Bombyx mori: one gene and its partners. The main gene of each other region encodes a partner of the protein of the gene in region 2 in a complex. Links are inferred from orthologs where the notes say so. Each region holds a gene or a part of one and is shown on either strand. Other genes may lie near its edges. The genes, in order: U4/U6 small nuclear ribonucleoprotein Prp4, ubiquitin carboxyl-terminal hydrolase 39, peptidyl-prolyl cis-trans isomerase H, U5 small nuclear ribonucleoprotein 40 kDa protein, U6 snRNA-associated Sm-like protein LSm6, U4/U6 small nuclear ribonucleoprotein Prp3 and pre-mRNA-processing factor 6.

Region 1 (2,328 bases), on a different chromosome or scaffold from region 2:
CAATGATGAGAATCTTTGTGGGAGTGAGAAATAATAATGTTAATTTTAAACGCCTAGAGGTGCGGGCGGGTACAGCTAGTACTATATAAAGGTAGATCTACCCTCCAAACAAACTTATTACTGCTTCAGAACTACACGAAGCGATATACTACCCTAAACTCCACCATTACCACTCCACAAATCCTAATTTGCCTCAAGCCCCCCCCCCCCCCTAAAGTGGTGGATCGAGAGCTCCGAGATTTTTGTTTTTTTTCCGTATAAGCAGACAAGCATACGGCCCACCTGATGGTGAGTGGTTACCGTCGCCCATGGACTTCAACAATACCAGGGGCTGAACCAAGCCGCTGCCTACCGTTAAGTACTCTCCGCAAGCCTCGTTTGAAGAAGGACATGTCATAGCGCTCGGGAAACACCGAGGAGGGGAGCTCATTCTATAGCCGGATGGTATGTGGCAAAACGTTCCCCGCACTCCGTTTTGGTATTTAACAAAAACATCCAGATCCAAGAGTACATCTTTATTTATATCAACTCCGGAGCCCACAACTTGAAGGTCCGGTCGTAGGAGCACGTGGCCACGTGTTTGCTGTCCCCAGATATGTCCGCGCTCATCACCTGCAACACGACAACGCGCTCACCACGTTACAACCAGACTGAATGGACATCAGTCTGATAAATATATAAATAAACTAGCGACCCGCCCTAGCTTCGCTTCGGAAACATGTCATTTATTATCGATTTCTCCACTATTCAATGGATGTTATTATACATATCGACGCTTGAAAGGCAAACGTGACTAAGCGAGAAAACTGCTTTGTACATAAATGATATGCAATAACCGTATTCGTTAGGTAAAAAATATATATTACTATGTCTATTAAAATCATTTCAATCCTACAGCTAGATTCGTTAAAATAGAATTTTTTTCAGGTTTTTCAACTTTAAATTAGTCTACTGTAAAGTTCACGCATTGTCGCTTAGTCACGTTAGCGTCGATATAAACCTTCCTCATCAATCACTATCTATTAAAAAAAACCGCACCAAAATCAGTTGCGTAGTTTTAAAGATCTAAGCATACTTAGGGATATAGGGACAGAGAAAGCGACTTTGTTTTATACTATGTAGTGATAATAACATTAGGTAAATTTTAACACGTCGAACGCCAGACCTGTGAGCTTAGTGCGAGTTTTCTAACGTTCTCGATAGCGTAAAAGTTAACTCAATTTTGTATGCAGTATGAACAGCGCCCCCTAACGGCAAACAGGCAAACGATCCCACTCCATACAAATATGAGCTAACTTTTACGCTAAGGAGAACGTTAAAAAACTCTTGCACTAAGCACACAGGGCTCATGTTTAAACCAGTGGACCACGGTGGACCCCTTGACCGCGAATAAAACTCTAGACAAATAATCAACGACCACACCAATTTCTTAATATTTGCGAAAAAAAAAACAACCTCAAAGATTTTTGGACGATGTCTTATATATACAGGGTGTCCCAGAAAGAATGGATAATACTGAAACACCTCATAGTACAGCTATTGGGGACACAAAATAAAAAATAAAAAAATATTTCTTAAGTTTCTTCATGGTTAAAATTTAAGTTCAGATTAATTTTTATAAAAAAATACACTAAGCTACTCATAAGATTTCCTGCATAATCCTTCGTATAGTCCTTGCAGAATTGTAGCGAAGGGATCATCTGAAGCGAATTGAGAATTTGCTCCTTAAGTGTTTTAAGTTACAAATTTATATTTCGGTAGAATTTTTGATTTATCCCGAACCCCAGCGCGTAACGATACATTTTTTGGGCAAAAAAAACTTTCCATGCACGTCGCTCTAGAGGTGGTGTTTTATCCCCCAATCCATAACTCGGTCCCCCTTTTCCCCGGGTGGTTCCCCACCTACAACGAACATACGAAGCGGTCATACCTTGTTGTCGTGTCCGCTGAGGGTCCGCAGTGGGTGCCAGGCCGGGTTGGACCACAGCTTCGCGCTCCGGTCGTACGAAGCCGTTAGTAGGAAGTGCCCGTGGCTTCGTTGGTATCGGACGTCTGATGGAGGAACATTACTCCGTGTTCAATGAGGCTTGGCTGTCACCCTGACATTGCCATGCCCACAATTAAGTTCTTAATAGTTAACTGTCTACATATTAAGGACCGACGACTTTGAACAATTTGAATCTAAACTAATATTATAAAGAGGAAAGGTTTGTTTGTTTGTTTGTCTTGAATAGGCTCCGAAACTACTGAACCGATTTAAAAAATTCTTTCACTGTTCGGAAGCTACACTATTCCTGAGTGACATAGGCTATAATCTGTTTTGAAAAA
Region 2 (4,114 bases):
AGTGCGAACATAGCCATACTTACTCTACACGATACAAAATATTCGCGCGGAAATAAATCGCACCGCTTCGCGTTCAATTTGCATCAAGTCACAGATTTTTTTCCCGCGCGATTTCGTTCCCGCCAGTGCGGATACTTCTATAATATTAAATGTGTTACAGAATTACGAGAAAAAAATCGCGCGGTGAAATATCGCTGTGCGGACAAGGCCTAAATATTACCAAAAATTGCCAAGTTACTCTATAATTACAATATTGGCAAAATAATAACTTTTTGGCGGAAATTCGAGGAGCGAAGCTTTCAAATATTAATCTATGAGCGTAGCAGTGTCAATTGTTTTATTTAATTTATGTAGTGTCTTTTCAGATTAAAATGCGTAATAATGGTGGTTAATTGACTGTATAATACCTTTGAAAGTGCACAAATGTATGAATATGCAACAAAGCCGTTAAATGTAGCTTCTCGGGATCTTTTTAAAAGTCCATTGAAAAAGTCTCAGAAAATAATTCCCATTTTACTGAGACTATATTTCATCTCATCTCATTACGTTTCATTTCATGCCAATTGATTATTGTTCCAAATTAATCAACTTCATTTCATTTCATATAATCATTTATCATAAGCAAAAAAATATGAAAGATTAGGCTGTATGGTATCATACTTTTGCCTTTCCAGTTCGAAAATAGAACACATACTCCTACTAAAATATTTTTTAATGGATTTTATGACACGGTAACTAAGATCTTTAGGTCAACTCTTAATAAAATTTATATTCTTATTTTTATGAAAAATGATAATATGAAGTGAAATGAGATGAGATGATATGGTATAAAATATAATCTCACTATGATAGTGGTCATTTACTGATACTTTTTAGTGAACTTTTTGGAGGATGGATAAGGTCTCAAGTATAGTTACAATGGCTGTCCCACCCTTCAAACCGAAACGCATTACTGCTTCACGGCACAAATAGGCAGGGTGGTGGTACCTACCCACGCGGATTCACAAGAGGTCCTTCCACCAGTAATTACGCAAATTATAATTTTGCGGGTTTGATTTTTATTACACGATGTTATGCCTTCACCGTGGAAGTCAATCGTTAACATTTGTTATGTATTTCAATAGAAAAATTGGTACCCACCTGAGATTCGAACATCGGTGCATTGCTCAACACGAATGCACCGGACGTCTTATCCTTTAGGCCACGACGACTTCATATTTCATACTATATTATCTCATTTCATTTCATACCACTTCGTATTACCATTTTTCATAAAAATAAGAATATAAATTTAATTAAGACCTGACCTAAAGGTCTTAGTTACCGTATCATAAAATCCCATAAAAAGTTCATTTAACGATTAATATTTACATTTTACATTTAGATTTCAGATTCTTCATTTAACTACATTGTCTAAAGTCTATGATAGTAATAAAATGACTGAAGAACAATCTAGAAAACGCAAAATAACTGATGAAAATGGGACTGACAAACAAGGTACTTGATAATGCAATTCTAACCTTCTATGATTCTGCACTCTACTGCTATTTGTAATCAAAGTATTATTATATTTTCAGGACGATATTCGAAAACTCAACAAATTCAATGTCCTTACCTGGATACTATCAATCGGCATGTTTTAGATTTTGACTTTGAGAAATTGTGCTCGGTTTCATTGACTAGAATCAATGTTTACGCTTGCTTAGTGTGCGGTAAATATTTTCAGGTAACAAAATATTTATGCAATTGTCATGGCTTTGGTGATTAGAGGCTTGAACTTTTTTTTACAGGCAAGTTACTTGTTTTCATGATGACGATTTTTATGAGCGCCAGTGTTGTTCCTGGCATTTCATTCCAGTTCTTTGCTGTAGTGATATGTAAGATAGGTTATTTATGTTGACTTAGGCATAAATTTGAATTAATCACTTGCGAAAAAATCATTAAAATCTATCTACTTTCCAGGGAAGAGGCACCAACACTCATGCCTACACACATTCAGTGGCTGATGGACACCATGTATTTTTGAATCTTAACACATTAAAGTTCTATTGTCTTCCTGACAATTATGAAGTTATTGGTAAATTACATATTTTTAACTTGGTTAGCTAAAATAGCTTTTATGTTAGATATAAATTAATTATAAATAAAATAATAATAAGATATAAATGAATTCGGTCAATTGATGATTTTGTGCATTGAAAATATTTATAAAATATTATGATTAAGAATTGGTGCATTTTACAGTTGTTAACACATGCGATAACTTAAAATAAATTGTTAGACTTTATTTTTGTAAGTAAATTAATAATAAGGAAAATTTGACTGATTTTTAAAATTTTATACACCAAAATGGAATCAAGTAAAATACTTTTAAGCTTAAATTTAGGTATCAATGACTAGAAGTACAGTAAAGCTTTAAAACTTGTAATAGTCTAATGGACAAGACACCCAGTGCATTTGTATTGGGCAGTGCAACTGTGGTGGTGTTTGAATTCTGTTGGCAGGTACCAATTTTTTTAATATGTATTTAACACTTCGTTGGTGAAGGAATGTATCAAATCCATCTTGTGATTATAATAAACTTGCATAAATTATAATTTGTTCTAAGGGTGACTTAAGAGCTTGCATTTGTAAGTACCACCACTCTGCCTATTTCTGCCGTGAAGCAATAATGTGCATTGGTGAAGGGGACAGCTACTGTTGTACTGTAAAACTGAGACTTAGAACTCCTGTTATAGGGATGCGGGTAATCACATAGCATCAGATGAGCCGGGAGCTAATCTACCTATCACAGTCATAAAAAAAGACAATTTCACATTTTAGACTCTTCATTGAATGACATCAAATATGTTTTGAACCCAACATTCACACCTGAACAGATCAAGCTTATAGATACTAACACAAAGATGTCACGAGCCATTGATGGCACAATGTATATGCCTGGCATTGTAGGCCTTAATAATATCAAGGCCAATGATTACTGTAATGTAATTTTGCAGGTCAGTATATGTTTTTATTAAATACATTTTATGATATGTACTGTTTTTATTGTATGATAAATGCGACTTATATTTTTGTTGCCGGCGATCTGTGAAAGTAGATGCGTTACAGTCAAACTGATTCTGTTTTAACCATTATGTATATTTGTAGTGAATAATTACACAGTGCTACAAAGTCTTAATATTGTCACAGTTTTATACTAAATTCATTTTATGATTTTAGTGTTTGTCACAAGTACGTCCCCTACGTAACTACTTTTTGAGAGAAGAGAACTATGCTAGTGTAAAAAGACCACCAGGGGACTCGTCTTTTTTACTTGTACAAAGATTTGGTGAATTATTACGCAAACTATGGAACCCCCGTGCTTTTAAAGCACATGTATCTCCTCACGAGATGTTGCAGGCTGTTGTGCTGTGGTCTAAGAAGCGATATCAGTTTATTAAGCAGAGTAAGATTTTAGTAGTTTTTTGGATATACGAACATGCTTTCTTAGTGTAATTTCTGTATATTATGCTAAAAAGTATGAATATTGATTGATCAGTTTTATATTTTAATTATATATTGTTTTATAATAATAATAAAAATTTATAAATAAATAAATTTTTGCTCAGGTGATCCAATAGACTTTCTGTCTTGGTTTCTAAATTCATTACACATGGCACTGAATGGTACAAAGAAGCCAAATAGCTCCATAATTTATAAGTCATTTCTGGGTCACATGAGGATCTATACAAGGTAAGATTTAAGCATCTGATTTTTTAAAGTTCAAAATAATTAACATTTAATCTATCATTATATGCAGTCAAAAATTTCTGAACAGACTGAAATTTTCAGAAAGTTGCCACCGCCGGATGCTGATGATGCAGCTAAAGTCGATCTTAGCAGTGAAGAGTACAATGAAATGATCACTGAGTCTCCATTTTTGTACCTCACATGTGATTTGCCTCCAACGCCATTGTTCACTGATGAGTTCCGCGAAAATATTATTCCACAGGTGAAAATACCTAGTATTGTTGCAATTTAAAAATTGTATTCACTAACTTTTTTATTTTTTTATTAAGACTGGTTTTTTTATATCAATTCACATCCACTTAAATAGGATTTAAAACAAAAA
Region 3 (3,000 bases), on a different chromosome or scaffold from region 2:
AATAATAATAATAAATGGTTAGGAATTGGACTTGGAAAAAATGAATGACTAAATATTAGAATCAGAAGGAGATTATTGTATGTCTGTATTTTAAACTATACTGATAACTATATAGATGTATATTTTGGAACTTTGCAATATTTATACTCTATTTATTATAATACTATATTTATATAATTAAACTTTATACTTTAAATTTCAAATATTTCATAATCAGACATAATTAAAATGATTACATAAAGTAACTAAGTTTTTTTGAAATCTAGATTAATTAACATAAAAAAGTAAACGAAATGAAACCGACCCAAAGTTTTAAGTTACACTGTGGTGGTTGTTGGCATTCACTTTGTAAGTATTCGTTCCGATGAAAACTTAATATCAGCCAAACATAAAACAATAAATAAATAAAACTGCAATAATATGTATACTTTTTTATCTATTCACTTGAATCGAAAATGAACATTCATCACATCCAATTATTACACTAGATTGCACAAAATTACTTTTATTAAGCACATACACCCCACCACATCTACAATCGTATAAATACACATTTTCATCACTGTCAAACACCATTTCAGACAGTCTTACTGTTTCATAAAGCAATAGATCACTATTTTCATGGCAACTTAATGTAGCATCATACTGTTTCCTGGTGCTAGGTTCTCTTAAAACTGACCAAGCTTTTTGTAATAGGCGAAACTTATTATCAGAATCATCAGTTTTATTTTTATCGGGATGTAATGTCAAAGCGAGTCGCTGATAACTTTTCTTCAATTCTTCAAGGCTTGCTGTTCTATCGCAATCTAGTATTTGATAATAATCAATAGGTAGGTCATTACTTTCCATATTTAATAAAAACTCGTAAAAGAGTTTTATTTATAAAAAATAGTTTACCTCTCTTTAATTCAATTGCTGTTCCCACTTCCCAGTCTTTGATTAGAATTTTTTTGTATTTTATTTATGGCCTGGCCCAGTCTTTGATTGATTGTTTGAAATTCATTCTTTATTGTATTATCTATAATTTGTTCATTGGACGGGCAAAAGGAGATAGACCATACAAATTTCAATACTCTTGTCACAAAACTGTAACCTTTAAATAAATATAAATATAATATATATAAATTTAAATGTATGTTAGGTAAGGGGAATAATGGAATTAAATTAATTGCTCATGGGATAAAATTTAAGGAAGTGAATTAAGAAAGACATCACCGTAGGTATTTGTTAGATAATAAATAAGGTTCCATTAAAACTTATAAGATAGGTATGGCGTTCAAATCTGAAGAAACGCACAATTTACGAAATACAATAATTTACACGACTTTGTCCTTCCCCGAAAAAAAGTCCCGCCCAATATACAATTGTTGACGAATAATACCATAGTCGTCTGTGATCACGAATACTTTATGTAGTTATTCTAAGCGTTAGAAATAATTGAAATTAAACGGTTAGGATAGTTTTATTATTATCTACGATTCGCCGAAATAGAAGAAACTGCTATAATCTTAAAATGTAACAAATTCGCTAAACGTGAAGTTTTGTCCTTTGAAGTCACCAGAAATTCCGTTTTTAGATCTGGACAAATAGGCTTGTAAGCTACCTAATGTCAAGGAAAGGATGTCAAAAGTATAACCTCAAAATTTGACAGCCGGGTAACAATAAACATCAAACAAACTAAAACTTATAGAAGTTTTAAATTGTTAACACAAATGTAATGTTGTTTTAGTAAAAATTTCAATATTAACACATTGAAATGCCTACTTGGAACCAAATACAGTCACAACTTAGGAATCCTAACAATCCAGTAGTGTTTTTCGACATTACTGTAGGAACAACGGTAAATACCTCCCCGAACTTATTGTTTTTTATTAGATTTAAAAGAACACACAAAAATTTATGTTTATAAAATATTTATGTTTATTTTAGGAAATAGGTCGTATGATATTCGAGTTATTCGCCGACGTAGTACCAAAAACTAGTGAGAACTTCAGAGAATTTTGTACCGGTGAATACAGGCGGGATGGTGTGCCCTTAGGTTACAAAGGAGCTACTTTTCACAGAGTAATAAAAGATTTTATGATTCAGGGTGGCGATTTCGTAAATGTACGTATTAAGTTTTGTTTATGATAAAACGATGCCTAACTGAACATGATGGAAGTTTATTAATATTTACTATTCATTTTAGGGAGACGGTACAGGCGTTATGAGCATATATGGTGGAAGCACTTTTGCAGATGAAAACTTTGGTTTGAAACATGACTCTCCAGGGTTATTGTCCATGGCAAATAGTGGTAAAGACACGAATGGCTGTCAGTTCTTTATCACATGTGCAAAATGTAATTTCTTAGACAATAAGCATGTAGTATTTGGTAGAGTTATAGATGGATTACTTGTCATGAGGAAAATAGAAAATGTACCAACAGGACCAAATAATAAACCTAAAATACCAGTAACAATATCTCAATGTGGACAAATGTAAATAAAACTTCACTTTAAATTTTATCTTTTTATTATCATTAAATCACAATGGCTCTGCCTCACATTTCTAACAGACTAATAGATAAAATATAATATTCACAAATTTTTACATAAAGTAATCACAATAAATACTCAATAATTATGTACACTGAATTGAACTAATTTTTTTGGTTTGCAATTAGTAAGCGTCAAGTTTTCAAAGTGTGATTGTTTATTAGTAACTTTCTAGGCTGCATTGTTGCCGGCCCATTGCGCCTTCCGACTTCTTTAATGAAAGCACCTTCCATTTGTCGAGCAACTTGGTCAAAAAACAAATTAGATAAATGTGAATGTATAGCTGATCTAAATTCGAATGTTATCTGGAAGTCCACAACACACGACTGCTGTTCTCTTTTTAGACCAGGACTGAATCTCCAAAGGGTCAACATATGGTGGAAGAGTCTTCCATCAGAACACTCTGCTTTTACCAAATGTGGTTTGACTAGCGTAACATTTGAAGTGTAGCTTTCATTGATAGGA
Region 4 (4,187 bases), on a different chromosome or scaffold from region 2:
GTAATTACTGGTGGTAGGACCTCTTGTGAGTCCGCGCGGGTGGGTACCACCGCCCTGCCTATTTCTGTCGTGAAGCAGTAATGCGTTTCGGTTTGAAGGGTGGGGCAGCCGTCGTTACTATACTTGAGACCTTAGAACTTGTATCTCAAGGTGGGTGGCGCATTTACGTTGTGGATGTCTATGGGCTCCGGTAACCACTTAACATCAGGTGGGCTGTGAGCTCGTCCACCAATCTAAGCAATAAAAAAAAAAAAATGCGTTCTCGTCTCTTTTAAAAGTTCATTACACAAACAAAGCGATCGGGGCTACACGTGAAAAAATTGTAACTTAAACAAATGATTTATAGCCGTCGTGACCTAAAGGATATGACGTTTGGTGCATTCGTATGTAGCGATGTAACGATGTTCGAATTGCGCAGGCAAGTGCCAATTTTTCTAATGAAATACGTACATATCAACTAAACTGACTTCCACGGTAAAGGAATAACATCGTGTAGTAAGAACAAAGCCCGCAAAATTATAATTTGCATAATTACTGATGGTAGGACGTCTTGTGAGTTTGCACGGATAGGTAGCACCACCCTGCCTATTTCTGCCATAAAGCAGTAATACGTTTCATTTCGAAGGCTGGGACAACCATTGAATTTTTGAGGAGGCAGTCTCCTCCCGGTGATGGTCACGGGGCCTCCCCCGGGCCAACTCCCTCACCTGAGGGGGTTGAGGCTGCGCCGCACGCTACCTACCATCACTCTAGCGCGCTGGCACAAGGAGGACGGGACAACACGTCAGCGACTACGGCCTGCAATGCGGTCCGCATTGTCGTCGTCACTATCGTCGCCGAACATACTGTGGAAGAGCAACGCGGTCGGAGGTGTATCGCGTTCTGACCCATCAGGCTGGTTTTGGCCAAGCAGAGTATCCCAGAACACCAGCGGCATCGCCCGGGCGGCCAGGTAGGGCCACCGTACCGCGGAGACCAGCGTCATTGGTCATCGACTACCGTCTCGACGACCCGTCGGTCAGGGGTCCTCGGAGGGGCGCCGCGTGTCTGGTTATAGTGTTGACCGCGGGAACCCCCCCTACATTGTCCGGATTCTGAGCCCGGACGGAGATCGGACGTTGGGTGTAAATGTGCAAGGGAGTCGTTTAGTGCGGTAGGGCCCTAAAACTCCTTGGGCCCGCGGTCTGCTCCCAAAACCTGCAGATCGTAAAGTTCCACATATCTCACGCCCTCTTAGGCGCGGGGACCTCTTAGAAGGATCGGCCCCGGGCCCGAAAAAAAACCATTGTACTTTAAAAACTGGGACATTAGAATTCAAATCTCAAGGTGCATGGCGGCATTTACATTGTAGATGACTATGGGCTCTAGTAAACACTTTAAGTTCTTCATTTTGAATGACTCATTATCTCATCTTCTCATCTGAATAGGTATACAAAAAAAAAACTTTTTAGAAGGTAGCTTTGTCTTTTGTTACAAAGAATTTGGCGATATTGGCTATTTTCCTTTTGCCTATACAATTGACAAATGAAACAAGCTAAACAGTCCTTATACCATTTTTAAGGTTAGTATTTCTGTTTGTAGCTATAAAAACAAATAGGTAAATAAACATCTTAAAAAATGCCAGATATAGAAACTAAAAGAAAAGCAGAGGATGTGTCTCTTGTACCCTCCAAGCGAGTACGGCATGAGATCTCAGTAGTCGGCACCAGAGAAAAGGCAGTTGTTACTTCATCTGTGAGTATTGTTTTCAATAAAGTTTACTTATTTTCTCAATAGTACGGTCTATAAAAGCTAAGAACTCTAACGCCACGGTGAAAGCATCAAGAGATCATAATTATAATTATTAGAAATGGAACATAACATCTAAAATAAACTTTTAGAAAAACACAATCTGTACTTAGGTAATCATGATTGATATTTGTTAAAATTTAAGGTAATACGAATTTTAGTCGGCTTTTACTTTAAGATTTATTTTTCAACATTTGTAGTGATCAACAAGATTCCAAGATTCCTGTGTTTTGTATTTTATATTCTTGTCGTTCTAGGTTCCACGAACATCAAACTTGTATGCGCCAATTATGTTGTTGGAAGGACACCAAGGAGAAATTTTCACAGGCAAATTTCATCCTGAAGGCAAACATTTGGCTTCTGCAGGCTTTGACAGACAAATATGTAAGTAACAAAATCATGACAAAGCTTTTGAATTGGCAAAGTGTTTCTAAAATTCACACTCTAATAATATACTACTATCAAAACGTTAATGAAGAATTGACACATTTGATAACACAAATTATAAGATTACAGTAGGTAGGTTTTAAATTTAATTGAAAAGAGTGAACAAGGTAAAATCTGACCTAGTGTATAAGTGATTATTGGAGACCATAGACATTATATTACAGCGTCTTAAATTTTCTCTGAAGTCCAAATCCATTTCAGTTTGATTTAATATGCATTATTAAGAATGACTGCCAGTACCAATATCCCAGGCATGGGCCACACTGTACTGGGGTTTTAGTGACACGAGCCCTATAATGTAGGGAACAATATGATACAATACTCAAAATGATAGCTGATATAAACTGTTTAGCTTAAGCCACCATTAATATAAAAAAATACAAAATAAATGTTTATACCATTGAAAATTTCCACCAATGTCAGGGTCATGTTGACAACTTATAAGCTGTACAAGTCCAACTTAGTAATATTATGATTTTTGATTTCTTATTTTCACAGTAATATGGAATGTGTATGGTCAATGCGAGAATGTGATGGTGATGAAAGGTCACACGGGAGCAATAATGCAGCTTTGCTTCTCACCTGATGGTTCACATTTGTACACTGGAGCTACGGACAATACTGTAGCAGTATGGGACGTACCCACCGGGACTAGAATCAAGAAGTTAAAGGGTCACGCTAACTTTGTGAACTCTGTTTCAGGTATGTTTCATAGTTTGAGTTTTGACACACAATGGTTTTCATGCTAGTGCTTTTTAGTAGTACAAATACACAACAGTAACTTAATTAAACATTACTTTGCACTCTCAGAGCCTTAAAGTGATTGGATCCAAATAAAGTGGGATTGACCTAAAATTGAAACTATAATCCGTAACCATGGTTTGAAACCAGATAACATCAATCTAAAATCTCAATGCCTGTGGATACAATAGAACTGTAAATTCATTCATGGCATCCATTAAAAAATTGGTTTAGACAACGTAACAATCTATTCTAACTTTCTCGTGTTATCTCTATATCCAGGAGCAAGAAGAGGTCCAGAACTCTTAGTTTCAGCTTCAGATGATAACACCATAAAATTATGGGATGCAAGGAAAAGGAATCCAGTTGCATCGTTTGACAGTTCATATCCAGTCACAAGTGTACTCTTCAATGATACAGCTGAAAAAATTTTATCCAGCGGTGTGGACAATGTCATCAAAATGTGGGATATAAGGAATAATCAGATTTCCTTGAAAATAAAAGGACATACAGACACGGTTACAGGTTGGTAATTCTTTATTGATTCTGATTAATTAGATTTTTATTAGGTGATAATACTGCAACCAGAAATTAAATTAAAATATTGATACAGTTTATCTAGAGTGGAGTGAGGGCAATATGATGACAGTAATGACTTCAGTCTATTAGTTAACTACTAAAATACTGATTACCATACAATGTATTTAACAAATATTGATCTTATGAGGAAATGAGAATGGATTGATTGGTATGCAGTACAGTAGTAGTAGTTGCATACATATGTATTTCTCTTTATAATCCCTGTTGTTACTTGTTGACGGGTGTATTGTAAACTTCTTCACCCATTCTGCCTTCGGTAGCCCAAACTGGTATTAGGTAATTTTAGAGAAATGTAACAGCTATTATTAGAATGTCTCTAGCCTTATAAGTAGTAATAATTCATGACTAAGACTACTTGTTTAGTTTACTTGTAGATCGTGAAGTCATCTACCCAGGTGCGGCAATAAATATGTGAATAGAAATCATATGAGTTTGATACATTTAATGACTGGCAATGTCTAACTTGTGTTGCAATACTCGTTTCCAGGATTATCATTGTCATGGGATGGTGCATATCTCCTGTCCAATTCAATGGATAATACACTCCGTATTTGGGACGTTAGACCGTTTGCACCAACAGAACGCTGTGTCAAATTAATGTCTGGCCACCA
Region 5 (4,289 bases), on a different chromosome or scaffold from region 2:
AAACCGATTGTGAAGACATTAAGGAAGACAAAGATAATGGTAAAAATGAGGAGTCTACGCCGGCTAAAGCTACCGGCAAGGGCACTAGGAAAAGCACTAGATCAACGAGATACAAACCTAAAACACCTGCTCCACCGCCATTGAAGCAGCCGGCGCCGCGGGGCAGAGGACGCAGGAGTCTATTCAAAAGGCAGCCATTGAAAGCACCAACAGCTACAGCGACTGTTGTTACAAGTGATTCAGTATTTTATCAGGTCTGTTCAATTATTTAATCCAATTAAAATCTGTAGTTAGATATACAACAGCTGTAGAAATATACCTTTTTTTTTATTTTTCAATAATCTTGAGGCTATATCGCATACTAATTATAGTTTAAAAACTGATTAGAGATTAATTTAATTTAAAAAACCCTAACTTATTATTCACAGTAAACATGAAAACTTGAAAAATTACCTCGGTTCTGCTTTGAATAGTCTGTGGTAATTTTTTCAGGGTATGTACATGCAAGTTGGTGATATTGTTTCGATGACTGACATTGATGGTGGCACATACTATGCCCAAATTAGAGGCTTCCTAACTGATGAGTACTGTGAGAAGAGTGCAGCTGTTACTTGGTTATTACCTACAAAAGCGAGCCCACCTCCAGAGAAATGTTTTGATCCTGCTACATATATCATTGGTATGAGCTTTTAATAATATTTTAATTAGAAATACAGATATTTGCAACAGGCAGAAGTAGGTGATTAAAGTATTTATTCAATATCTAAGGCATTTTGGGTGATTTTTTTCATTTTGTAAATTTAGTGCTTTAGATTTTCCACTTGTAATAATAGTGACTCATTAAATGTGTATTCGATCAAAGCTCGTGAATAGCAGAAAACGAAATAAGTCGCTTGACACGGCATTTCTAAAAAGCCTGCATTGTTTGATTTCACTTCCTCTCGTCTTGTTTCAATCTATATCATGTAATTTCATCCCAATATAATGAATATAATGAAATAAACCAACTTAATTAAATTCAGCTTAATTTTTTATTTTTATTTTGTAAATATGATTTTTACTAACTCAATACTGGCAACAATAGCATCACGAAAACTCAACTGCCATATAGCAAAAAAAAGAATAGTGTATATAAAAAATGTGACAGTTAAGGTTAATATTGCTGTAAATTTTCAGGCCCTGAAGAAGAGCTGCCTCGGAAACTGGAATACATGGAATTTGTGATGCATGCTCCATCTGATTACTACAAAGCGAGCAACAGTCCATACCCACTGACTGATAATGAACTGAATAATTATACTGGTTTTGTATGGACTTCGATGGAAGCTAAAGAGAGAACGTAGACTTTTATATTTAAGCAAAGTGAACATTTTGTTACAAAAAAATACTGTTTATGTTTAGTTTTATTACCCCATATACCCCGTAGTTAACATTTATTTAAATTTAGAGCACAATTTGAATTTCGATATCATTCACAGTTATAATTTTTTTTTTTTTTTTCCCTACCTAAGCTGATAGCCCTAGCGGCTGTCAGCGTAACCCTAACTTTAGTAGGTGAGCTCACGGGGCTCAAACCTGACGATGTTGCTAACACGAACCCTAGCAAGAGCCGTGCTTCGCAGAATCTACCACCGGATCGGAAACGCGACCCACTGAGAAGATCCGGCGAGAAACTCAGTGGGCTGTGTCTGAGAGTTAATTTACTCGTCGAGCCCTTCGTCGCAAGCGACGGGTTCGACGAGAACGGTGACCGGTGCTTTAAGTACCTAAAAGCACCGTTAGTGGATCAGGAGGATCCGAGATGACGTGTTTTGGGCGACGTCGACTGCTTTCCATTCTGTCCGCAGGATCGGGAATGTAGTTACCAGCGGCCACGATGAGAGGGTTCTCGTGTCGTGCCGCTTTATCGAAGTGGACAGTTATCAATCATTCAATAACACACATCATTCACTTTAATCATTCAAACCAACCAACATTTTTTTTCCTCCAGAAAATTTGGTATAAGTATTCATAGTAGTAAGTAGTAACTATGCTGTTTCCCTAGATCACTGATATTTTTTTGCCTATCTTTCAATGCCCTTGAAGAAGTGGAGCGTATGGAAGCCCAATTATTTTCAGTTAACCTCTTGGGTATTGCATTTTTACCCTACCAAGAAGTTGTTCAAACTTTGGAAAAAGGATAATAGTAAGTCTGTTGGCGCAACAACTTGTGTGTATGGTGGATGCAAAAACTTCCATCCATACCTCTTGTAGCTTAAAGACGGTCGATTGTACCATATGAGGTTGAGCGTTGTCATATAGGAGAAGTGTGGACAAGCGATTAAGAAGGGCAGGCTGGAGATACAAAAGCTTCTTCATCATTGTATCCTGTTCCTCACCATACACATCTGTAGTAATGATGCTATTTGGTAGGAAGCTGTGATGAATTATACCAGAACAAAGCCACTAAACAGTGAACATGACATATTTAGAGATAGATTTTCATTTGAGGCATTGCCTTTGTACTGAACCTCTAGTCCATGTAATGTCCGAGTGCAATAATTATTCTAGCGCCCTCTAGTAAGCGTGCAATCAAGTTGGACTAGGAACAAATCTAACTGCACCAGGAGGACGGGACGGCGCGTCGGCGGCTGCGGACTGCGATGCGGTCCGCATTTTCGTCGTCGCTGTCGTCGCCGAACATACTGTTGAAGAGCAACCCGGTCGGCGGTGTATCGCGTTCCGACCCGGCAGGCTGGTTCTGGCCCAGCGGGGTATCCCGGAACACCAGCGGCACCACCCGGGCGGCCTGGTAGGGCCGCCGTACCGCGGAGACCGACGTCGTTGGTCGTCGACTATCGCCTCGACGACCCGTCGGTCGGGCGTCCTCGGGGTGGCGCCGCGTGTCTGGTTGTAGTGTTGACCGCGGGAACCCCCCTACACTGAACGGGTTCTGACCCCGGACGGAGATCGGACGTCGGGTGTAAGAGTGCAGGGGAGTCGTTTGGTGGGTGGGCCCTAAAATCCTTGGGCCCGCGATCTGCTCTCAACACCTGCAGATCGCTGAGTCTCACATACCCCGCGCGCCCCCTAGGCGCGGGGACCTCGTAGGAGGTTCGGCCCCCGGCCCGAAAAAAAAAAAAAAAAAAAGGAACAAATCTAACTGATTCATTAAGAATGCAGAGGCCGGTGCACCCTAAAACCGCAGCGCGCATCTGCAACTCACACACACCTCGCACCATAGGTAAAGTCGCCTCTAGTTCTGAATCAGGGTGTGTTTGCAACCCGCTTGATGACCGCTTATGATTATAAACAATAATCCATTTTTCATCGCAAATGACCAGCTTGATGTGACCGCTTATGATTATAAACAACATAATTCATCGTAGATGACAATATGCTTCAAGATACCCTAATGGGGTGACGATCGTTCAGTTCGTGTGGGGGTGCCACATATCAAGTTTTGCCCACCAACTTGACCCAAATGAACTAATATTCTTCTGATCCTAACGTTGAAAGCTGCAAAATGTTTTAAATCAAAACTTCTGTGCTGAACCGTACAGGCCAATCGTGCGTTCTTTTGTAGTGTTCTTTCCGTACATACACATTATTTCTTAAATACCAAACATAATATGAGCCGTTTTGCGGCATTGCCACGGCGACGGAACTCTCCATATTCACTCTTTTCTATCGTGTACATATTGATGTAAGATACATTATATTACAAATGTAGTGAAAACAAAACACTAATCAACAAACAAATAACTGGATTTGAAAATAGAATGTCAAACTTCTCGGCATCCTCCAAAAAGTCCACTGAAAAAGTCTCAGTAAATGACCACCATTTTACTGAGATTATTTTTCATCTCATAACATCTCATTTCAATTCATTACATTTCATTTCATGCCATGTTTCATAGTAATCAACTTCATTTCATTTCATAATATTAATACAATTTTTCATTTTAAAAAATTCATTAAAATTAAAATAAGACGACCTAAAGGTATTAGATACCAAGTCATAAAAACCTTTAAAAAAAGATCAAAAGTAATCAAAACACCCGCTTTGACCAATTTGAAAATTTTTAAGTTTCATTTAATGTATTTCGTGTCTTCAATTTCATCAGAATAATAAATAAACACAAAAAATGAGTCGTAAGGAAGCTTTGTCCTCGTTTATACAGCAGATTCACGGTCGCCCAGTTGTCGTTAAATTAAACAGCGGCGTTGACTATAGAGGTTTGTTTTCCTTTCAAATTTTATTTATTAAGTTAGTAATAACAATCACTTCGTCTTTTAAGAACCACATA
Region 6 (4,195 bases), on a different chromosome or scaffold from region 2:
GTTACAACGGCTGCCCCACCCTTCAAGCCGAAACGCATTACTGCTTCACGGCAGAAATAGGCGGGGCGGTGGTACCTACCCGTGCGGACTCACAAGAGGTCCTACCACCAGTAATATGTGTAATAATAAATGTGTTAGAAAATGGAATCTTCAAACATATCCAATCAGGTGGTATATTTTAAAACTGTTATGTGCATATGACTGGTGGCTAGCAGGTTTGATCATCCAACCAGAATGAGGAAGTCAATAACACATACCTTAATCCTGTCTGCACTCAGGATAGCCATCTTCGATCCTGGAGTCTCTCCTTCGGGAATAGCGGGAAGATCATCAGTTCCATTCTTTTCCTCCACATCTTTTTTCTCCACATAAACTTTCTCATCTTGCTTTGAACCTTCGTACCGAGATCTCTTACCATCTCTATCTCTGTCACTCTCATGTTTCCTTTTCGATGAAGTTTTTGATGACGTTATCAGTTCCTGGGCCAATGCTATGACCTTATCGGTTAGTTTGCTTGCCTTTTTGGAGTCTATGTGCGATGAAAGTCGGTCAATAATTTTTCTACGTTCATATCTGAAATATGAAGAACAATTTTCTTAGTTACTAGTGGTAAGGTATGCCAAGGAATACAAAGCTGTAGCTTTTTTAATTTTCAGCAATGCGTAGTGTAGTAATATTAGAATATTAATATCATTTATCATTTGAAACATAAAATCAAAGTTACCATCTCATTTGTACAAATATTCAAAATTATAAGTTTGCAATAACGAGGTATATTATAAGTCAGCACAGGTAGGCATCGCAATGCTGACTGTTTTTGCCCCAAATTAATAATACATTCCGGTCTGGAAGATGGAATAGCTGTACAACCTTCAACCTTTTTTTAATGCCCTTGGAGGCAGACACAACGAGCATGCAGCCCACTTGATGGTCAGCGGGTACCGTTGCCCATGGATGATGTAATGCCAATAATAGAGCCAAGCCGCTGCCTATCATAAGTAATCTCGACAAGTCTTGTTTAAAGAAGGACATCTCATAGTACATGGGAAACACCAGAGAGGGGATTCCAAAGCCGGAAAATCTCATACCATACGAGTTTTAGGTCAATGAGGCACAGTGAACATTAATGTCTGTTCTTTAATAACTTAGAAATTGAGTAACTAGCTGTTTTCATAAGTCAATATTTTTATATATCTATGCTTGAAAGGCAAACGTGACTTTCGGTTTGAAGGGTGAGGCAGCCGTTTAACCATACTTGAGACCTCAGAAATTATATCTCAAGGTGGGTGGCGGATTTACGTCGTAGATGTCTATGGGCTCCAGTAACCACTTAACACCAGGCGGGCTGTGAGCTCGTCCATCTAGCAATAAAAATAAAAAATAAAGATATTTGATTATTTAAAATTCTGTTTGTTTACTATTCAACTAGCAAGCTCACCCGTTCGTCAAACACGACGAAACAGTCGATAGAATTGAGTTATCCGATTTTCCTATAGTCCTGTATATGGCACGGTCTATTGATGACCGGAGTTCCTCTACCTCGCGACGGGACAGCTGAAGTGCCATATCGTCACAACAACTCAACAGAACGAAGTCAAACAAAAATATATCTTTAGCTGTTTTTTAGGTTAAGTTTGACAATTTATATTCTAGCTTTTTATTCAATAACACGTAATATATTTCGGTTTAACTTAGATTAACACTTTTTTGGATTACATTTTATAGGTAATTAATTAATAATAATACATTTTTATTTAAGTCTATTTCTGTTACTATGTATTCCGTCAAAATTTCGCTTTGACGCTTTTGCGTTCATATGACGTTGACGTAAATTTACCAACCAAAAAATTAAAAATTTAGTTAACTAAGCTTTGCGATGTTAGTTAAAATTAATAGTGTAAATATTTATGATGAACAGCAATTTTCGTAACCGACACTTATATAGCAAAACCGCATCATTCCCGGTTGAGTATGTGGTGGCCGGTTCTAGTAATACTAGAAAGGTTTCCGGGGCATCACCAAACCCTTTGTCCAAGATGTGTAAGAGCATTTCGCCAGTGATCAATATACACAGACCTCTATTGTACTCATAGTCACCAGCTTGAAGCTGTCATTGATAACTATCGTTGCAGTTGGCTTAACTGCTCGAGCAGTTGGCAATTTGGATTACATAGTTTATAATTCCATTTATGTTCTTACATTTTCAGCACTTATGACGTAGCTGGTAACTATATACCCAATCCTACGGATCAAACGGTAAACAGTCGCCTTCGCCCTAAGCCCTAATCTCAGATTCTGCTCTTGCTAGGGACAATGTTAGAAATTTTGCCAGGTGTGAGCTCACCTACTCGTTTGGTGAATCTAGTACGAACCTTCGAGGAAAAGAAAAAGAAGAGGATAGTGTAGACGATTATGCTTCTATAAATAAAAAGTTAGACCGCATGATGCGATTTCTTCGTCATTTCGATTAGAAAAATAAAACAAAATACCAAGTTTGACTTCTGACATTAGTGACTTTAAGCTATAGATCGACTTGTTGTATTTACGACAATTTGCGTTAAAAACAGGAAATTTTAAACGGAAATCTTAAACAACATAATATATAATTATTATTAGTGTATATTTGCATTTCAATACAGTAAAAACAAAGTTTTTAAGCTCCTGACTGAGACAAAAATAAGGTTTTTAAAGCCTTTGATCAGAACCAAAACATAACCTATTAATATAATCGGCATTTATTTTAGCTTATTTATGTTAATTATTAATGAAAGTCGAAGTTTAATCAAAACAAAAAACCACAATGTCTGATGACGAAGATATCGCGTATCTAAAGAAACAGAAGCAGGTACATTATGGGTCGCTGGAAGAACAGGAAAAGGCGAGACTAGCAGCCTTAGCTGCAGCCGCCAAAGAGGGAGCAGAGGACCCCGGCGGCAAAGAACTAGGAGACATACAAATATCTAACGGTAGAGCCTTATTAATACGCTTTTATTAGCTTCAGACGTGTGTTAGTATGTAACGGAATCTTAGAACATGATTTTGACCCACTTCAAAACGTCGGATTAACTCGAAATTTGGTATACTTATTAAGAACCGATGACAATTCAATATTAATAAAAAATTGGAAAAAAAATATTGAAGAAATTGAAATTCAACTAAAAAATGAAATTAAATAATTATTTAAAATAAAACTAACAAAATACGCTTTTATAGAAAATCCAACTAAAAAATAATAAATAAATTTGAATTAAAAATAGCGTAAGAAAAAAATTTCTTATTGTAAAAAAAAGCGTGGGGTGCACTATATCAGTAGTTATAAATATTTTATGAACAGATAAAGTACAAGGGTTATTCTAATAATATCCTGAAAAGCAACCCATGCTTTTTTTTACAATAAAATATTTTTTTCTTACCCTACTATTAATTCAAATTTACTAAAATTTATTTTCTATTTTTTAGTTGGATTTTCTATAAAAGCGAATTTTGTTATTTTTTTAAACTATAATTTTTTTCGGTTTGTTGTCAAAGACTATTAATGACTTAACTGATGTTAGAACGTCTTGTGAGTCCGCACGGGTAGGTATTACCACCTGTCAATTTCTGCCATGAAGCAATGCGTTTCAGTTTGATGAGTGAAGCGGCCATTGTATTATAAAACTGGGATTTGGAACTCATTTCACAAACTAGGGGGCTGCATGGTTGTCTATGGGCTCCGGTAACCACTTTACACCAAGTAGGCCATGAGCTCATCTACCCATATTTTTTTTCGCTTCGGTTTCCTCGATACTGAGCATTGTGACCACCCATCTAAACAATAATAAAAAAATACTTGGAGTGCTTGTGTGTAGTAAGTGTTTATTGCTAGTTGTGTTGACAGTTGTCACTTCGATTGCTCAAGTTACGTCAAATAGCAGCATTCTGGTTGTGAACTCCAGTCTCCACTTAACGCTAGGTGACCGTGAGTTTTATCCGTTGATTGCAATAATAATCCAATTCTGTCGTAAATTTCATTATTGTTAATCGCCAAATAAGCTCAGTTAGCCTTAGATGAACCGCTGAGTGTTTAATATTTACTGTCTGACAGAGGATACAATTTTTTAAATCAGAATGTTTTTTTTTTTTTCCGAATGCAGTTTCTAAATCACGAAGAATCAGCAAGATACCCAATGCTTGTTATCTTATGACTGTGCAACAA
Region 7 (3,500 bases), on a different chromosome or scaffold from region 2:
GCTTTATGTTATGATATTTTACCCAAATTTTAAACTGCAAATGGCTCAACTCTAAAGTGGCAAAAATGTCGCTTAAACGAAATAGCTTTTCACCCCTCGAATTATAAAGACAACAAACAATCACTAAATGAAATCGTAAAAATACTCGCGAAAATCTAACGAAATGTTGTGTTTTCAGTTGAAAAAATGTCCAACGAGCGTCCCCATGTGGATCTTGCTGTCGAGACTGGAAGAAAAACTGAAACACGTGACCAAAGCGAGGTCCGTGCTGGAGAAAGCCAGGCTCCGGAATCCTAAAAATGCCGAACTGTGGTAGGTTATACGTTATCTGTGCTTTCTGTCTATCTTTGATGGGGACTCGACTTTTTGGCGGGAACGCGAGGAGTGAAGTTGTGTGATTTGTTTTATTTTGTCTATTTAGTGTTTCTTCAGGTTTAAATGTGTAATAATGGTGGTTTATTAACTGTTTAATATCTATGAAAGTGCATAATTGTGGGAAAATCAAACAAAGCCGCTGGATGTAGCTTCTCGGGATCCTCCAAAAAGTCCACTGAAAAAGTCTCAGTAAATGACCACCATTTTACTGAGATTATATTTCATCCTATATTATCTCATCGCATTTCATTTTATTTCATGTCTTGTTTCATATTAATCAACTTCATTTCATTTCATTTCATAATATCATTTTTCCTATATAAAAAAGTTTTCATTAAAATTAAAATAAGACTTGACCTAAAGGTCTTCGTTACTAGGTCATAAAATCCCTTAAAAAAATATTGAGGGGAACGCTCGGCGGCAGACGCACTGACTCATAAATGAAGGCAAAAAAAGAACAAAAAACCGTATGGTAATAATCATTTATTTCCATTAATGACCAAAAAGGAGCAGAATTATGAACGATAATTATACTCATTACTTTGTTTTCGTTGTGTCCATCGCAGTACCAGCGTCGAGATAAAAATTCGATCACGTCATATCTTCAACAATAATCACAGTGAATTGGCGGGAGTTTACAGGACACTGAGTGAATTCAAGTGAAACCATGTCCAGTGACTATACGCTAACTAATATAACACTTCTTAAACTAGTCACTGTCATATACTCTAGAATCTAGAGAGATTCTTATAGACTAGAATGCGGTGTGGGATCGTACATTATGGCTCGGTCTGGACGCCTGAGGTTTTTTTTTCGTTACCTAATCGTACTGGTAGGTGAGCTCACAGGCTCAACCTGAGAGAGTTGCTAACACTAGCCCTAGCAAGAGCAGTGCTTCGCTGAATCTACCTCCGGATTGGAATCACGATCCACTGAGAAGATCCGGCGAGAAACTCAGTGGGCTGTGTCTGTAGATTAATTTACTCGTGGAGCCCTTAGTTGCAAGTGACGGGTTCGGCGAGGATGGTGACCGGTGCTTGTGGTACCTAAAAGCACTGTTAAACCTTCAACAGTGCAGTAACCGGATTCCGGAGGGACGCATTGTCATTTTAATTGCTTTAATTATTCAACTGATGAAAGTCGAGAGGATCCGTAATAACGTATTTAGGGCGACTACTTTCATTAATCAACCAAACACTGTATACAATTTCTATTTTGTTATTGCTCTTGTGGGCAGATGAGCATACGGTCCACCTGATGGTGAGTGGTTACCGGCGCCCATGGACTTCAGCAATGCCAGGGGCAGAGCCAAGCCGCTGCCTACCCCTTAATACTCTCCACAAGCCTCGTTTGAATTTTGTTTTCCAAATTCTGTTTTCATTCCTAGATAAGCATAATGAATTGATTGTATTTTTTCTTCTATTTAGGTTAGAAAGTGTGCGATTGGAAAGACGAAACGGAAGCCCGGAAATAGCTAATGCCGTTATGGCGAAAGCTCTTCAAGAGTGCCCATCTGCCGGTCGACTGTGGGCGGATGCTATCTTCATGGAATCGAGACCGCAGAGGAAGACTAAAAGTGTAAGTTGTTAGGCTATAAGATAAATTATAATACAACTAGCTGTACCCGTCCGCTTCGCCGGGCATTTAAAATTAATATTATTATTTCTCACCCCCACAAAGATTCCCATCATTAACGCCCCCGCAACATGTACATGTATTTTCTACATGGATACCAAGTTTCAAATCAATCGGACGCATGGTTCAGTAGTTATAGCGGAACATCCATAAAAACCACTGTAGATTTATATTTATATTTATATTAGTATAGATAGGTACGTCATTGCATCTCAGTACAATTGACTCACCCTTAAATTCAAGTACTTTTTGGGCAAATGGCACACCCTGTAAAGTGTTCAGCTGAGCTCCTAAACATAACAACGTAAAGTCGTCACTCACCTTTGAGGCGTGAGGTCAAAAGAACAAGCACTCAGTGTCATGCCGATTAGTCGCAGTAATAAAATCTCAACACTCCGAATCTATAGTAAAACTGTGATAATTTTAAAGGCCTACCCACTAGAAGAAAAACACATAATTAACCATTTTTAGTTGTAATAAATAATAAATGTTTTATTTTGTTTTGTTTTAATAAACAATGCTTCCGTAAGACCACGACTGCTTTGCCAAGAGTAACAGATTATGATGATGATGAATTGTAATTGAATATGCAGTTTCGAAAAGGGCACATCTCTGAAAATGTAAAATTTTCAGGAAATGAAAAAAGCTGATTATTTTCTAAAGCAGTCTAAAATTTAAAATATTTACTTTTGATATATATTTTAGTGTTAATTAGCAATTGAAAATTACTGGAATTATTATAAAATGGGTGTAGGTAAGCCTCAAAACTACATGTATATGAAAAAACGTATTTGACAAAATATGCGACATGTGCCCTTTTCGAAATTGCCTATTCAATTATAATACTGGTATTATTCTACAGGTTGATGCGTTGAAGAAATGCGAACACGACGCCCACGTGCTGCTGGCTGTCTCACAGTTGTTCTGGACGGAGAGGAAACTAAACAAATGCAGGGAATGGTTCAATAGGACGGTTAGTAGTCTAATTATTATTTATAGCAATATAAACTGTCGAGCTGACGGCTGATATCATTCCAAATTTGGCCCGATACTGCTTAAAGGACGACCACCACCTTCTGGCCTTACGCTATATAAAATGAGGCCGAATTAAAAAAATAAAACATTACATTTGAAGTCGTCGTGGCCTAAAGGATAAGACGTCCGGTGCATTTGTATTTAGCAATGCACCGGTGTTCGAATCCCGCAGGCGGGTACCAATGTTTGTAACAAAATACGTATTTAATAAATGTTCACGATTGACTTCCACGGTGAAGGAATAACATCGTGTAATAAAAAATCAAACCCGCAAAATTGTAATTTGCGTAATTACTGGTGGTAGGACCTTTTGTGAGTCCGCGCGGGTAGGTATCACTGCCCCGCCTATTTCTGCCGTGAAGCAGTAATGCGTTTCGGTTTGAAGGGTGAGGCAGCCGTTGTAACTATACTGAAACCTTAGAACTCATATCTCAAGGTCGGAGGCGCCTCCAGTA

Evidence for each region.
Region 1: ubiquitin carboxyl-terminal hydrolase 39 (region 2) and U4/U6 small nuclear ribonucleoprotein Prp4 share a complex: the UniProt entries of both Homo sapiens proteins name them as parts of the U4/U6-U5 tri-snRNP complex. The link is inferred for Bombyx mori from reciprocal best matches to the Homo sapiens genes USP39 and PRPF4.
Region 3: ubiquitin carboxyl-terminal hydrolase 39 (region 2) and peptidyl-prolyl cis-trans isomerase H share a complex: the UniProt entries of both Homo sapiens proteins name them as parts of the U4/U6-U5 tri-snRNP complex. The link is inferred for Bombyx mori from reciprocal best matches to the Homo sapiens genes USP39 and PPIH.
Region 4: ubiquitin carboxyl-terminal hydrolase 39 (region 2) and U5 small nuclear ribonucleoprotein 40 kDa protein share a complex: the UniProt entries of both Homo sapiens proteins name them as parts of the U4/U6-U5 tri-snRNP complex. The link is inferred for Bombyx mori from reciprocal best matches to the Homo sapiens genes USP39 and SNRNP40.
Region 5: ubiquitin carboxyl-terminal hydrolase 39 (region 2) and U6 snRNA-associated Sm-like protein LSm6 share a complex: the UniProt entries of both Homo sapiens proteins name them as parts of the U4/U6-U5 tri-snRNP complex. The link is inferred for Bombyx mori from reciprocal best matches to the Homo sapiens genes USP39 and LSM6.
Region 6: ubiquitin carboxyl-terminal hydrolase 39 (region 2) and U4/U6 small nuclear ribonucleoprotein Prp3 share a complex: the UniProt entries of both Homo sapiens proteins name them as parts of the U4/U6-U5 tri-snRNP complex. The link is inferred for Bombyx mori from reciprocal best matches to the Homo sapiens genes USP39 and PRPF3.
Region 7: ubiquitin carboxyl-terminal hydrolase 39 (region 2) and pre-mRNA-processing factor 6 share a complex: the UniProt entries of both Homo sapiens proteins name them as parts of the U4/U6-U5 tri-snRNP complex. The link is inferred for Bombyx mori from reciprocal best matches to the Homo sapiens genes USP39 and PRPF6.

What each region holds. Positions count from the first base shown.
Region 1 is NC_085130.1:18,531,980-18,534,307, forward strand, and holds the end of U4/U6 small nuclear ribonucleoprotein Prp4, read right to left. Parts: intron 2,053-2,328; coding exon 1,931-2,052; intron 613-1,930; coding exon 520-612; 3' UTR 501-519; downstream 1-500. UniProt on the Homo sapiens protein: Plays a role in pre-mRNA splicing as component of the U4/U6-U5 tri-snRNP complex that is involved in spliceosome assembly, and as component of the precatalytic spliceosome (spliceosome B complex).
Region 2 is NC_085121.1:4,081,172-4,085,285, forward strand, and holds the start of ubiquitin carboxyl-terminal hydrolase 39, read left to right. Parts: upstream 1-1,314; 5' UTR 1,315-1,436; coding exon 1,437-1,497; intron 1,498-1,577; coding exon 1,578-1,726; intron 1,727-1,962; coding exon 1,963-2,077; intron 2,078-2,823; coding exon 2,824-2,999; intron 3,000-3,222; coding exon 3,223-3,448; intron 3,449-3,611; coding exon 3,612-3,735; intron 3,736-3,834; coding exon 3,835-3,994; intron 3,995-4,114.
Region 3 is NC_085116.1:6,472,058-6,475,057, forward strand, and holds peptidyl-prolyl cis-trans isomerase H, read left to right. Parts: upstream 1-1,416; 5' UTR 1,417-1,756; coding exon 1,757-1,840; intron 1,841-1,929; coding exon 1,930-2,106; intron 2,107-2,188; coding exon 2,189-2,482; 3' UTR 2,483-2,500; downstream 2,501-3,000. Other genes in the region: coenzyme Q-binding protein COQ10 homolog A, mitochondrial, read right to left, coding at 2,670-3,000. UniProt on the Homo sapiens protein: PPIase that catalyzes the cis-trans isomerization of proline imidic peptide bonds in oligopeptides and may therefore assist protein folding. Participates in pre-mRNA splicing.
Region 4 is NC_085109.1:1,114,844-1,119,030, forward strand, and holds the start of U5 small nuclear ribonucleoprotein 40 kDa protein, read left to right. Parts: upstream 1-1,387; 5' UTR 1,388-1,617; coding exon 1,618-1,734; intron 1,735-2,045; coding exon 2,046-2,172; intron 2,173-2,733; coding exon 2,734-2,937; intron 2,938-3,258; coding exon 3,259-3,501; exon of another isoform or gene 3,502-4,063; coding exon 4,064-4,187. UniProt on the Homo sapiens protein: Required for pre-mRNA splicing as component of the activated spliceosome. Component of the U5 small nuclear ribonucleoprotein (snRNP) complex and the U4/U6-U5 tri-snRNP complex, building blocks of the spliceosome.
Region 5 is NC_085134.1:2,613,317-2,617,605, forward strand, and holds the start of U6 snRNA-associated Sm-like protein LSm6, read left to right. Parts: upstream 1-1,489; 5' UTR 1,490-4,127; coding exon 4,128-4,218; intron 4,219-4,289. Other genes in the region: GATA zinc finger domain-containing protein 1, read left to right, coding at 1-254, 493-679, 1,177-1,343. UniProt on the Homo sapiens protein: Plays a role in pre-mRNA splicing as component of the U4/U6-U5 tri-snRNP complex that is involved in spliceosome assembly, and as component of the precatalytic spliceosome (spliceosome B complex).
Region 6 is NC_085130.1:18,544,909-18,549,103, reverse strand, and holds the start of U4/U6 small nuclear ribonucleoprotein Prp3, read right to left. Parts: upstream 2,801-4,195; 5' UTR 1,567-2,800; coding exon 1,439-1,566; intron 574-1,438; coding exon 258-573; intron 1-257. Other genes in the region: U4/U6 small nuclear ribonucleoprotein Prp4, read left to right, coding at 2,801-2,966. UniProt on the Homo sapiens protein: Plays a role in pre-mRNA splicing as component of the U4/U6-U5 tri-snRNP complex that is involved in spliceosome assembly, and as component of the precatalytic spliceosome (spliceosome B complex).
Region 7 is NC_085109.1:9,950,173-9,953,672, forward strand, and holds part of pre-mRNA-processing factor 6, read left to right. Parts: intron 1-178; coding exon 179-312; intron 313-1,802; coding exon 1,803-1,953; intron 1,954-2,872; coding exon 2,873-2,983; intron 2,984-3,500. UniProt on the Homo sapiens protein: Involved in pre-mRNA splicing as component of the U4/U6-U5 tri-snRNP complex, one of the building blocks of the spliceosome.